3 linked regions of the Arabidopsis thaliana genome follow. The protein of the gene in region 2 interacts with the protein of the main gene of each other region in a pairwise test. Each region holds a gene or a part of one and is shown on either strand. Other genes may lie near its edges.

The links.
Region 1: the proteins of GRXS17 (region 2) and AT4G35910 interact in a two-hybrid assay, tested with the Arabidopsis thaliana proteins (one study listed by BioGRID).
Region 3: the proteins of GRXS17 (region 2) and XDH1 interact in a two-hybrid assay, tested with the Arabidopsis thaliana proteins (one study listed by BioGRID).

Annotation. Positions count from the first base shown.
Region 1 is NC_003075.7:17,009,532-17,013,285, reverse strand, and holds the start of AT4G35910 (Adenine nucleotide alpha hydrolases-like superfamily protein), read left to right. Parts: upstream 1-1,643; 5' UTR 1,644-1,978; intron 1,979-2,248; 5' UTR 2,249-2,271; coding exon 2,272-2,567; intron 2,568-2,649; coding exon 2,650-2,998; intron 2,999-3,091; coding exon 3,092-3,178; intron 3,179-3,453; coding exon 3,454-3,575; intron 3,576-3,676; coding exon 3,677-3,754. Other genes in the region: MCA1 (PLAC8 family protein), read left to right, coding at 165-280, 411-482, 590-696, 951-1,044, 1,128-1,180. UniProt on the Arabidopsis thaliana protein: Plays a central role in 2-thiolation of mcm(5)S(2)U at tRNA wobble positions of tRNA(Lys), tRNA(Glu) and tRNA(Gln). May act by forming a heterodimer with NCS6/CTU1 that ligates sulfur from thiocarboxylated URM1 onto the uridine of tRNAs at wobble position.
Region 2 is NC_003075.7:2,518,363-2,522,116, reverse strand, and holds the start of GRXS17 (thioredoxin family protein), read left to right. Parts: upstream 1-2,054; 5' UTR 2,055-2,192; coding exon 2,193-2,363; intron 2,364-2,445; coding exon 2,446-2,520; intron 2,521-3,014; coding exon 3,015-3,754. UniProt on the Arabidopsis thaliana protein: May only reduce GSH-thiol disulfides, but not protein disulfides. Participates probably to the maturation of iron-sulfur proteins and to the regulation of the redox state of the BOLA proteins.
Region 3 is NC_003075.7:16,623,477-16,627,230, reverse strand, and holds the start of XDH1 (xanthine dehydrogenase 1), read left to right. Parts: upstream 1-2,039; 5' UTR 2,040-2,247; coding exon 2,248-2,374; intron 2,375-2,742; coding exon 2,743-2,842; intron 2,843-2,939; coding exon 2,940-3,048; intron 3,049-3,130; coding exon 3,131-3,754. Other genes in the region: XDH2 (xanthine dehydrogenase 2), read left to right, coding at 166-327, 482-616, 701-937, 1,054-1,227, 1,301-1,543. UniProt on the Arabidopsis thaliana protein: Key enzyme involved in purine catabolism. Catalyzes the oxidation of hypoxanthine to xanthine and the oxidation of xanthine to urate.

The sequences.
Region 1 (3,754 bases), about 14 Mb from region 2:
AATCTCATGTTTGTTCTAAAGATCCAAATTTCCTTACAAGTTTAAGAAAGTATAATCTTCAATTCTTTGCTGTGACTGTAATGCTTTTAGGTCTGTTTTCATGTTTGAAGGCTAAGATTTGGTACAATGTTCTATAACATCGGTTACACAATTGTTCCATGCAGATCCACTTCTAATGTTTCATCTGGGCATGATCTGCTTTCACGAAGAGCATCACAGGCACAACACCATGAAGAATGGCATACCGACTTACTAGCTTGTTGCTCGGAACCTTCTCTTTGTAAGACCACACTATTTGTTTACAATGTGGCTCCACTTTGTTTTCTCTGTTACATAGATGATTAGCGTTTCACATTCTATACTTCCTTGTTATCTGCAAAGTTCTCAAAGATTCAATGATGGAACCGCAGGCTTCAAGACATTCTTTTTCCCGTGTGGTACTTTGGCAAAGATTGCCACTGCAGCATCCAACAGGCACATCTGTAAGGGATATTATTGAATACCGTGACTTTATTAATTTTCAATCTTTTAGTAATACATGTGAAAGCTAATAAGTCAACTGGATTTTTTTTAATTTTCGCTCTCCCAGCTTCAGCTGAAGCATGTAATGAGCTAATGGCGTATTCTTTGATACTTTCTTGTTGCTGCTATACTTGTTGCGTGAGGAGGAAACTCCGGAAGACACTGAACATCACGGTATTACATTCTCATTCTCTTCCACTCGCTTGAATCCTTACCATTAATCCCATTTGATCCCAAAAATCTATATGCTTCCGAGAAAATTTCTATCATTTGCATACCATAAACAACAAATGAAATTTCGGTTAAAGATTAAGTAGACACCTGCAAAAAAATTCAGTAGTAACTATCATGGTTGAGATTGAAATGGCTATGTTTATGCCACTCAATGTAGAGTCGGAATGAATGCTTAATGTTTTCTGATTTCGCAGGGAGGATTCATTGACGATTTTCTATCTCATGTAATGTGTTGTTGCTGTGCCCTTGTACAAGAACTGAGAGAAGTTGAGATTCGTGGGGCATATGGTATGATTTACATACAAACATATTATCAATATTTGTTTCAATCTTGAAGCACTAACAAAGATCTGTCTCTCATATCTTTGCAGGTACGGAGAAGACGAAAATAAGCCCGCCTTCGTCGCAGTTCATGGAACATTGAAATCTTCTATTATACAAAAGGTGAACAAAAACAACGATTTGTTGTAACTCTGGATACGAGACGAGATTCTTCTTCGTACTACTCACTTAATATTATTGTGTTAAATCGTGGAGTCGTATGTAAATTAGTTTGGGATTCTCATCTTAATTTCAGCAATTTGTGTTGTGTGTATCACATATAGACTAACTAATTCTTATTTCAACCTTTTATCACAAGATAGGGTATTAGGTTTACCGGATGGCCAATTGAACCAAACTTGTGTTTTGGGTCAAAATAGTAGTTTTCTTTTATGAATCAAGGAGAACATATACAATTTGCTGGTGGGTGAATATTAATATTACAATAGCAAATTAAGGAAAATTCTTTGAAGAAGAAAAGAGATGAAGAAATGCATGTGAGGTATCATTACCATGACTAAAAAGCCTAAAACATTGACAAAATTGATATGACTGATGATGATTCTCTTCTATTGCTCCCAAATTGGACAAAACTTGTCGGTTCCTTTTAATGGATGGTTACATGTTTACGGTTTAGCATCTTTTAAATACTTATCAAACCATAATTTCTTTACTAATCGTCTCACCGGTATGGGTAGACTCGTAAATAACCACTTTCATCTTCTTCCCCAATTTTTCTTGCTTTCTCTAAACCCTAGTTTCAGACAAAGTAGTGACATTTTTCTAACAATTAAACCAATATCGCCGTAGTCAACCACCGCATAACGTTTTGGCGCCGCCTGAGGCTGACCTGGGGCTGCTAAAGATTTTATCGCGACGACTCTCTTTCTCTCTCAAACTGGTAACTAATCACTTATTTGCTTGTTTCGATTTTGAATGTGCACACATCGCTATCTATTCAATATATTCGCTTTATAGCAAGACTTAGCAATATACAGTGTAATAGGATTGATTATATACTGATTGAGTAAAAAAGACTAATGATTTCGTTTAGAGTAACAATCTCTTAATTATCTCGTTAATGGCGGAAAGTAGTTAAGTCTCGTGAATTAGATGTTGATAGCATTGTCTACTCCTTTGTGTTGTAATTCCTAATCTAAATTTTCCACAGTTTCAGCTGCTTGCGAATTGGAAATGGCTTGTAATTCCTCAGGCTGTGAGTCAGGTTGCTATGACCGTGAGAAAGATAATGGAAGTAAGATAGTGGATGATGCAGTATCTGGTGGCGGTAATCATGAGAGTGTCTGCGTCAAGTGTAAATGCAATGCGCCTATGACATTTGGTGACGGTGGCTTCGACGATGGAAGATTCTGCGCAGATTGTTTTAGGAACAATGTCTTTGGGAAATTCCGTCTTGCTGTTACTTCTCATGCTATGATCACTCCTTCAGATAACGTCCTTGTTGCTTTCTCTGGCGGATCATCTTCCAGGTTTTGCTCTCTTTTTTTCCTTTAGTTTCTGTTTTTTGATATGTTATTGATTGGTGTCTAAACGTAGCAAGTATGATGTTAGGGTTTCTCTTCAATTTGTGCACGAGTTGCAAATCAAGGCTTTGAAGAATTACGAGGCGAGTCGAGATAGATCTTTACCTGTGTTTGGTGTTGGTGTTGCTTTTGTGGATGAAACTGCAGCTTTTCCTGCTCTTTCCACTGAAATGATTGATGCAATTGAGTGGGTTCGATATACTGTCTCGTGTTTGTCTCCACCTGCTAAGGATCTCCATGTTGTTCCAGTCGAAAGCATATTTGGTTCAGACTCTCTTGACGCACGGGATAGACTTCTGAAGCTATTAGATTCTGTTCCTGACGATACTGGAAAAGAAGACCTTCTGCTGCATCTGAAAATGTTATCTTTGCAAAAGGTTTGGACATTATATTGCTTTTGTTTCTGTCTGGGAAAGAAATTCAGATTTGGAAATATCTTTTGTTTAATGTTGTTTGATAAACCTTTTTAGGTTGCCGCTGAAAATGGGTACAATAGATTAGTGTTGGGATCATGCACGTCGAGAATTGCTTCCCATGTTCTTACGGCTACTGTCAAGGTGTGTTGCTTAGTGCCCTGACTTGACTCGTGTTTCCTCTGGCTTAGTTATTCTATAGATTGCATCTTAGAGTGAGAACTTCATGCCAGAAAGCAATCAATGGCTACCTTAAAGAATGTAGATATTTTGGACTTAACCAATTACATCTCTAAAAATTGAAGTTTTGGTGTAAAGATTTTATTTCAGTACACAATGTTTTGTGTACTTTATTTGGACATTCCCTTTAGACTATGTTCTATCAGAATTGTGAGTTGAATTGCTTTTTCTTGAAACAGGGACGAGGTTATTCACTATCAGCAGATATTCAGCATGTTGATGCTAGATGGAAGGTTCCCATTGTACTTCCACTTCGAGATTGTGTTCGACTGGAAATAACTAGACTCTGCCTTTTGGATGGGTTCGTTTATTGGCTGCCTAGTCTACATTGTATTGTTATAGTGAACCTTATTCTTGCATAATCCAACTATTGAGTGACGTCACATATTCTGGGCAGGGCAGACTTAAGACTGTGGAGTTGGCTTGTCGTTCTCAATGCGGAATCAATGATTTGGTGTCTTCATTTGTCGCTCTGTTGCA
Region 2 (3,754 bases):
TTGATGCAAATAATTTATATCGCTTAAGTAAATGATGTATATATTGTTGATGCAAATAATTTAAAAGTATACATAATATTTGCATTGCTTGTTGTAACTAATGTTAATTTGAGTCAACTAAAAAAAAAGATGTTATCTTTTTAAATCACTTTTTGTAAGTGTTCTAAGTATTTGCATCAGTTTATCAAAATCATATATATGAAAGTTGGTCAAAATCATATATATTTGTCATGTGTCTATTAAATAATTAATGTAAGCTCTTCAACTTCTAATTTATAGGTTAATGATACATTTATTATTTATTTTTATATTATTTTATTTTACATATTTAATGTACTATTACTAAATTTATTTTAATATTACATGATTTTTCAATAAAACCATTTTAATAGTTTTTTCATACTCGAATATTTTTTTTGTAATCCAAACTCAAAGTATGAGTATATAATAATCATGGATTAGTTAGTGATTTGAGTAGGTTATTCTCTTAAATTGATATTTATATAATAAATCACCGAGGGTGTAGAATACGTACAAACCTCCATCATTTCGTCTGAACCCTCATTTTGCGCCGATTCTGTCAACAATGGTTGGAGGAAGAGGAAAACCTGGAGGAAAGGGAAGACGCAGTGTGAAGAAACAGGAAGAGAAAGAAGTTGAACGTGGTAGAGATGAGTTTTTATCAAAATCAAAAACTCCTCATCCAAAAGGATTTCCTCCAATGCAAGATCTAAGCACCAACGTGGTCACTAATAGAGGTGGATTGCAGCCTATGAAGGTAATGTAGTAGTATATTGTTCGCTTTTTGTTAATTGTTTTCGGATCAGTATACTTTTTTTTCTTTTTTCTTAAGGAATTGTGGGATGTAGAATATGTTCACATCCCTAAGAAATTGAGCTTGAAAACGGTTCTTGACAATATGAAACAAACTATGGCTCAACGTGGGTTCTACATCCGATCTGTAGATGCTTATGTTCGGAAAAGGTTTCTCACCGAGAACAAACCCCTTATTAAACGTCTTCGCCGATCAGACGTGAACATAATTGAATCACAAGAATACCCAGAGGAATATCTAGGTAAGACCACGTTATATTTATCAAAGTTTTGGTAACCTTAATGACGTCATTAAAGAGTTTTGTTTTTGATTAAATTTTTCTAATGGCATTATCATGTAATTAATTACAAAAATAAAGGTTACATTTAAAATGTACTTCCCAAATAATATAGTAGGATAATCGATGTTAATTAAATAAAATGACTTTCAATTAATTGTTTTTAAAAAGTATTATGTAATTTCATTAATTAATATGAAGGCAAACTTTGCATACTAAGTTTTATATTTTTTTACACCACCAAAAAACCAAGGTCACTATATGTAAGAAAACTATGAAACCTCTTTTTTTGTGGGAGAAATGTAGGATTTTGACAAATTAAGTAAACATTTACATCACATTTTATAGTCGATGATTAGTCGTTAACTAGTATCAGTTTCCATTGATGTAAATTTTGTATCATTTTAAATAGTGATGTTACACAAAAATTAATAGATGCATCAATTATCTAAATGATGTAAGCTTATATATTATATCATTTAAAAAAAAAGATAGTATAATAAAATAACTAAAAATACAAATGCTAAAATAATTGTGGATTTTTAATATAACAGAATTAAACAATTCCACACATACAAAACAAAGGAGAAAAAAAGAATTGTAACCTAATTCTTAGACTGTTTTATGAGAATCCAATTCGATGAGGATTGATATATACAATTCCTCTAATTAGTATTAATTTTAGAAAGAAAAAAATAGGATTAAGATTTTATTAGTCAAACTTACTTTTAGTAGTTTTAATTTAAATGTATCTAATATTTTTCAAAATTATTTTATTTTTAAAGATTGTTATCACCTAGAATTTTAACATTTTTACCTTACTTAATTTCCAATTTTTTTTTCCTTCCGCTGACATATATAATTTTACTATTTTTATAAAAAGAAATTACATAAGTGAGCAATTTTAGCATCACATTGGGCACACAAAAACCCTAATTGTATCGTTAGGTCCTTTTATTTTGTTATATTTACATAAATCTCCTTTCTTTCTCCAGCAACAGAGTGTATTCTGCTCGATAATAAATTGGTAAATCACAACACAAAAAAAAAGTGTTAAGAGATCCTTCTCCCTCTTCGAAGATGAGCGGTACGGTGAAGGATATCGTTTCAAAGGCGGAGCTTGATAACTTGCGCCAGAGCGGCGCACCAGTCGTGCTTCACTTCTGGGCTTCTTGGTGTGATGCTTCGAAGCAGATGGATCAAGTTTTCTCTCATCTCGCTACTGATTTCCCTCGTGCTCACTTCTTTAGGGTTCGTCTCTGTTCTCTTGACCAATTCAAAATTTTATCACTTTCAATGAGGTTTTTGACTGTTATTGGTTTTATCTTCTTAGGTTGAAGCTGAGGAACATCCTGAGATATCTGAGGCTTACTCTGTTGCTGCTGTGCCTTATTTCGTCTTCTTCAAGGTAAAGTTACGTTTTTTTTGTTCCCTATGATTTGATCAAAACTTAGGATTTAGGGTTTTTGTTTTTGCTTAAAGTTGTTTGTCTAATTTGGTAGAAGAAGAAGACATTGATGAAGTCATACTTATTGATTCTTTATGTTGCTTTGTTTGGTTGCAATTTTCTGTCTTTATAGCATTGAGAGTGTGTTCAAAAGTTTGAATCTTTGTCCCTATGTTTTGATCGAAAGTTTAGGATTTAGGGTTTTTGTTTTGATTAGTTTGCGTCTCTGTTAGATTACTGAAAGCTGTTTATCTAATCAGGTAGTAGAAGAAGATGGTTCGCCTATCCATTTAGCTCCAGACTTATTGATTCTTTGTTTTAATTGGTTGGTTGCAATTTTCTGTCTTTATAGGATTGAGAGTGTGTTCAAAGCTTGAATCTTTGTCACTGCACTGTAATGATTGTTCTGAAAGTTGTTACTTTCTTCTGACTGTGAATTCGTTTTCTTATTGAAGGATGGTAAAACTGTGGATACACTTGAGGGTGCAGATCCATCAAGTTTAGCTAATAAGGTTGGCAAAGTTGCTGGTTCTAGTACTTCTGCGGAGCCTGCTGCTCCTGCAAGCTTAGGGTTGGCTGCTGGGCCAACGATTCTTGAAACTGTGAAGGAGAATGCGAAAGCTTCTTTACAAGACCGAGCTCAGCCTGTATCTACCGCCGATGCTCTCAAGAGCCGTTTGGAAAAGCTCACTAATTCTCACCCTGTCATGTTATTCATGAAAGGTATTCCTGAAGAGCCTAGGTGTGGGTTTAGCAGGAAAGTAGTTGACATTTTGAAAGAGGTTAACGTTGATTTTGGAAGTTTTGACATACTATCGGATAACGAAGTGCGAGAGGGTTTGAAGAAATTCTCTAACTGGCCAACGTTTCCTCAGCTGTACTGCAACGGAGAGCTTCTTGGTGGAGCTGATATCGCAATAGCGATGCACGAGAGCGGTGAACTAAAAGATGCTTTCAAAGATCTTGGGATCACGACAGTTGGTTCAAAAGAAAGTCAGGATGAAGCTGGAAAAGGAGGAGGGGTTAGTTCAGGAAACACAGGCTTAAGTGAGACCCTCCGAGCTCGGCTCGAAGGTCTGGTCAATTCCAAACCAGTTATGCTGTTCATGAAAGGAAGACCAGAAGAACCAAAGTGTGGGTTCAGTGGGAAAGTGGTTGAAATCCTCAACCAAGAAAAAATCGAGTTTGGGAGTTT
Region 3 (3,754 bases), about 14 Mb from region 2:
CTTTGTTTGATGTGAATCCTTTTCTTTCAAATTTAGTTATCTGTCGAGGAACTGAAAAGATTAAGCTAAAGCTTCCTTGGAAATCTCACCATTGCACTACCGTTCAAAGCTAGAATCTGAATTTTGAGATACTTAATCCAATATATAATTAAACGGCTGTCACAGGCCGGTGCTCTTGTTCACGTTTACACCGATGGGACTGTTTTGGTGACACATGGAGGTGTTGAGATGGGCCAAGGGTTGCATACAAAGGTTGCTCAAGTTGCTGCAACGGCCTTTAACATTCTCCTTAGTTCGGTTTTTGTGTCAGAAACAAGCACCGACAAGGTACATTTAACTCGGTTACAAGCAGTGGACTTTTGGCCAAGACGTAGTCAGACAAAACTGTTGTTGTTCTCTCTTATCATTTCTGTGGTCTCTTAATAGGTTCCAAATGCCTCACAGTTTTTGCTCTCTTGTCGTTTTGATTGCCTTGTAACAGGTTCCTAATGCGTCACCTACTGCTGCTTCTGCGAGTTCTGATATGTATGGTGCTGCAGTTTTAGACGCTTGTGAGCAGATTATAGCAAGAATGGAGCCTGTTGCATCTAAACACAATTTCAACACATTCTCTGAGGTATTCTTTCTTTCTTCTAGCAATTTGATATAAACTCAGAAGATTTTGATGAACAAAACTCTCTTTTTCTCTGAGTGTATGTAGCTAGCAAGTGCCTGCTACTTTCAACGTATAGACCTATCAGCTCACGGTTTTCACATTGTTCCAGAACTTGAATTTGATTGGGTATCTGGAAAAGGGAACGCATATAGATATTACACATATGGAGCTGCCTTTGCTGAAGTTGAGATAGATACATTGACTGGTGATTTTCACACAAGAAAAGCAGACATAATGTTGGATCTCGGATATTCTCTTAACCCAACCATTGATATTGGACAAGTGCGCAATCTTCTCTCAACATCCTACGCTTTTAGCTGTTCGTTGGCCTTTTGCAATGTTTAAAATCCAAGAAAATCATAGAGAAAAGTGTTATTTCTGAAATTCACCATTTGCAGATAGAAGGAGCGTTTGTACAAGGACTAGGTTGGGTAGCTCTAGAAGAACTCAAGTGGGGAGATGCAGCTCATAAATGGATTAAACCAGGAAGTTTACTCACTTGCGGACCCGGAAGCTACAAAATACCTTCCATCAACGACATGCCGTTCCAACTGAATGTTTCTCTTCTCAAGGTATGCAACTATAGGAACAAGCTGTTTAAATTGGTAGCAACACATTTGAAACTGAACATGAGATTATACTCAGGGTAATCCAAATGCAAAGGCAATACATTCATCTAAAGCAGTGGGTGAGCCACCGTTCTTTCTTGCAGCATCAGCCTTCTTTGCAATAAAGGAAGCAATCAAAGCGGCTAGAAGCGAGGTAGGTCTCACCAACTGGTTCCCTCTGGAGACTCCAGCCACTCCAGAGCGTATCAGGATGGCTTGTTTCGACGAGTTTTCAGCTCCTTTTGCAAATTCAGATTTCTGCCCAAAGCTTAGTGTTTGAGCTTTAAACTTTAATAGAGGGGAGAAAGATGGATCAATCCATTTTGTCAAAGTCATATATGTAAGTTACTTCCAGTCTCCAAATACATGATGTAACATGATACATGTTTCTTCAAAGCAGCAACTTTGTTGACTAAATGCGCGCGCCATCGAGATAAAATATCAGATTTTTTTTTTCTGAACAACCTCTAACTTCAAGTGAGCAAAGAATGTGAAGCAGTTATGCTGAGCAATGCAAGACGCTTATCATCATCATATATCAAAACCAAAAATAAAACAAACAATATCATCAAAATTTCTTTTAAAGTAAATCTTAAGACAAGACAATAACACACTAGTCATAACTAATCAGACTACAATTTATAAACGAAACATAATCAGCAAAATTCAGTTAAACAAATATATAAGTGGCATTGTAAAAACATCATATAGGCTTCAATTGTTTTACTTTGTTCAAACTTAAATTTCGTTCTTTCTATTTTGGGTTCTTTACAAAAAAAAAAAAAAAAAAAAAAAAATTGACTGCACAAGTGATGATGATGAAGATGCGTATTCATTCGGTGGATGCTATCGGAAAGGAACACGAATTTTATTATTAAAAAAGGAAAATGTTATTCCTTTTTTGCTTCTCTTGACTTGGCGTAATCAACTTCGCCATCTTCGTTTTTGTTTCGATCCCAATCGAGTTTTCTCTCAATTTGAGAAATGGGTTCACTGAAAAAGGACGGCGAGATCGGAGATGAGTTTACGGAGGCGTTACTGTACGTTAACGGCGTTCGTAGAGTCTTGCCTGATGGATTGGCTCATATGACACTTCTCGAATATCTCAGAGGTGCGTATCAACTTCTTTGATTAATATCCAATTGCTGGGGATGATTTCAAGTACTCAAACAAGTTTAATTTTCAATTCAATTTTGAACTGATACTCTCTATGAAGATTCTGTTTTTTGGATTCCTAGTTTCTTACTCTAGTATGTTAAAGAAAAAGGCTTATGTTTGACTTATAGATTCTGGATTCTAAAAAAATCGAGATTATGTTTGATCCACTGTTCTTTTGTTTTTTTAGACCACTGTCTTTATTTGAGTAAGATTATGCTCCAATTGCTAGATTCGCTTGGGGACAAAAAATGACTTGCAGAGATCAATCTTTTTTTCTAAACGATCATGAAGTAGTTTCTAACTTACAGATGTTTCTTGTAGATTTAGGATTGACCGGTACAAAGCTGGGATGCGGCGAAGGTGGTTGTGGGGCTTGCACGGTGATGGTGTCTAGTTATGACAGGAAGTCAAAGACCTCTGTGTGCGTATCTGTCCCTCCTATATGTTGGCTTTGTTTAGTTTATATTTGCGCCTTCTTATTGATTCTTTCTCTGTTCATACGGAAACTTTTATTGCAGGCATTATGCTGTCAACGCTTGCCTAGCACCTCTCTATTCTGTAGAAGGGATGCATGTAATATCCATTGAGGGACTTGGGCATCGCAAACTTGGCTTGCACCCTGTCCAGGTAAGATTTACTTCTCTCAGGTTCTATTTCTTCTTATTTTGCGGAGATTCTTTTGTCACTGTTATGATCTTGATTCTCTCAGGAGTCTTTGGCATCTTCCCATGGTTCCCAATGTGGGTTTTGTACTCCCGGGTTTATCATGTCCATGTATTCGTTGTTGAGGTCAAGTAAAAACTCACCTTCTGAGGAGGAGATTGAAGAATGTCTTGCAGGAAATCTATGTCGTTGTACTGGTTATCGACCCATTGTTGATGCGTTTCGGGTTTTTGCAAAATCTGATGATGCTCTCTACTGTGGTGTATCTTCACTTAGCCTTCAAGATGGTTCTACTATTTGCCCATCTACTGGCAAACCTTGCTCTTGTGGATCAAAAACAACAAATGAAGTTGCCAGTTGTAATGAAGATAGATTTCAGTCAATCTCTTATAGTGATATAGATGGAGCTAAGTATACAGATAAGGAGCTTATTTTCCCCCCTGAACTTTTGCTGAGGAAGTTAACTCCCTTAAAGTTAAGGGGAAATGGGGGGATTACCTGGTATAGACCCGTATGTCTTCAGAACTTGCTTGAGCTCAAAGCAAATTATCCTGATGCAAAACTACTGGTAGGTAATACAGAGGTGGGAATCGAAATGAGATTGAAGAGGTTACAGTATCAGGTGCTGATCTCTGTTGCTCAAGTCCCAGAACTCAACGCATTGAATGTC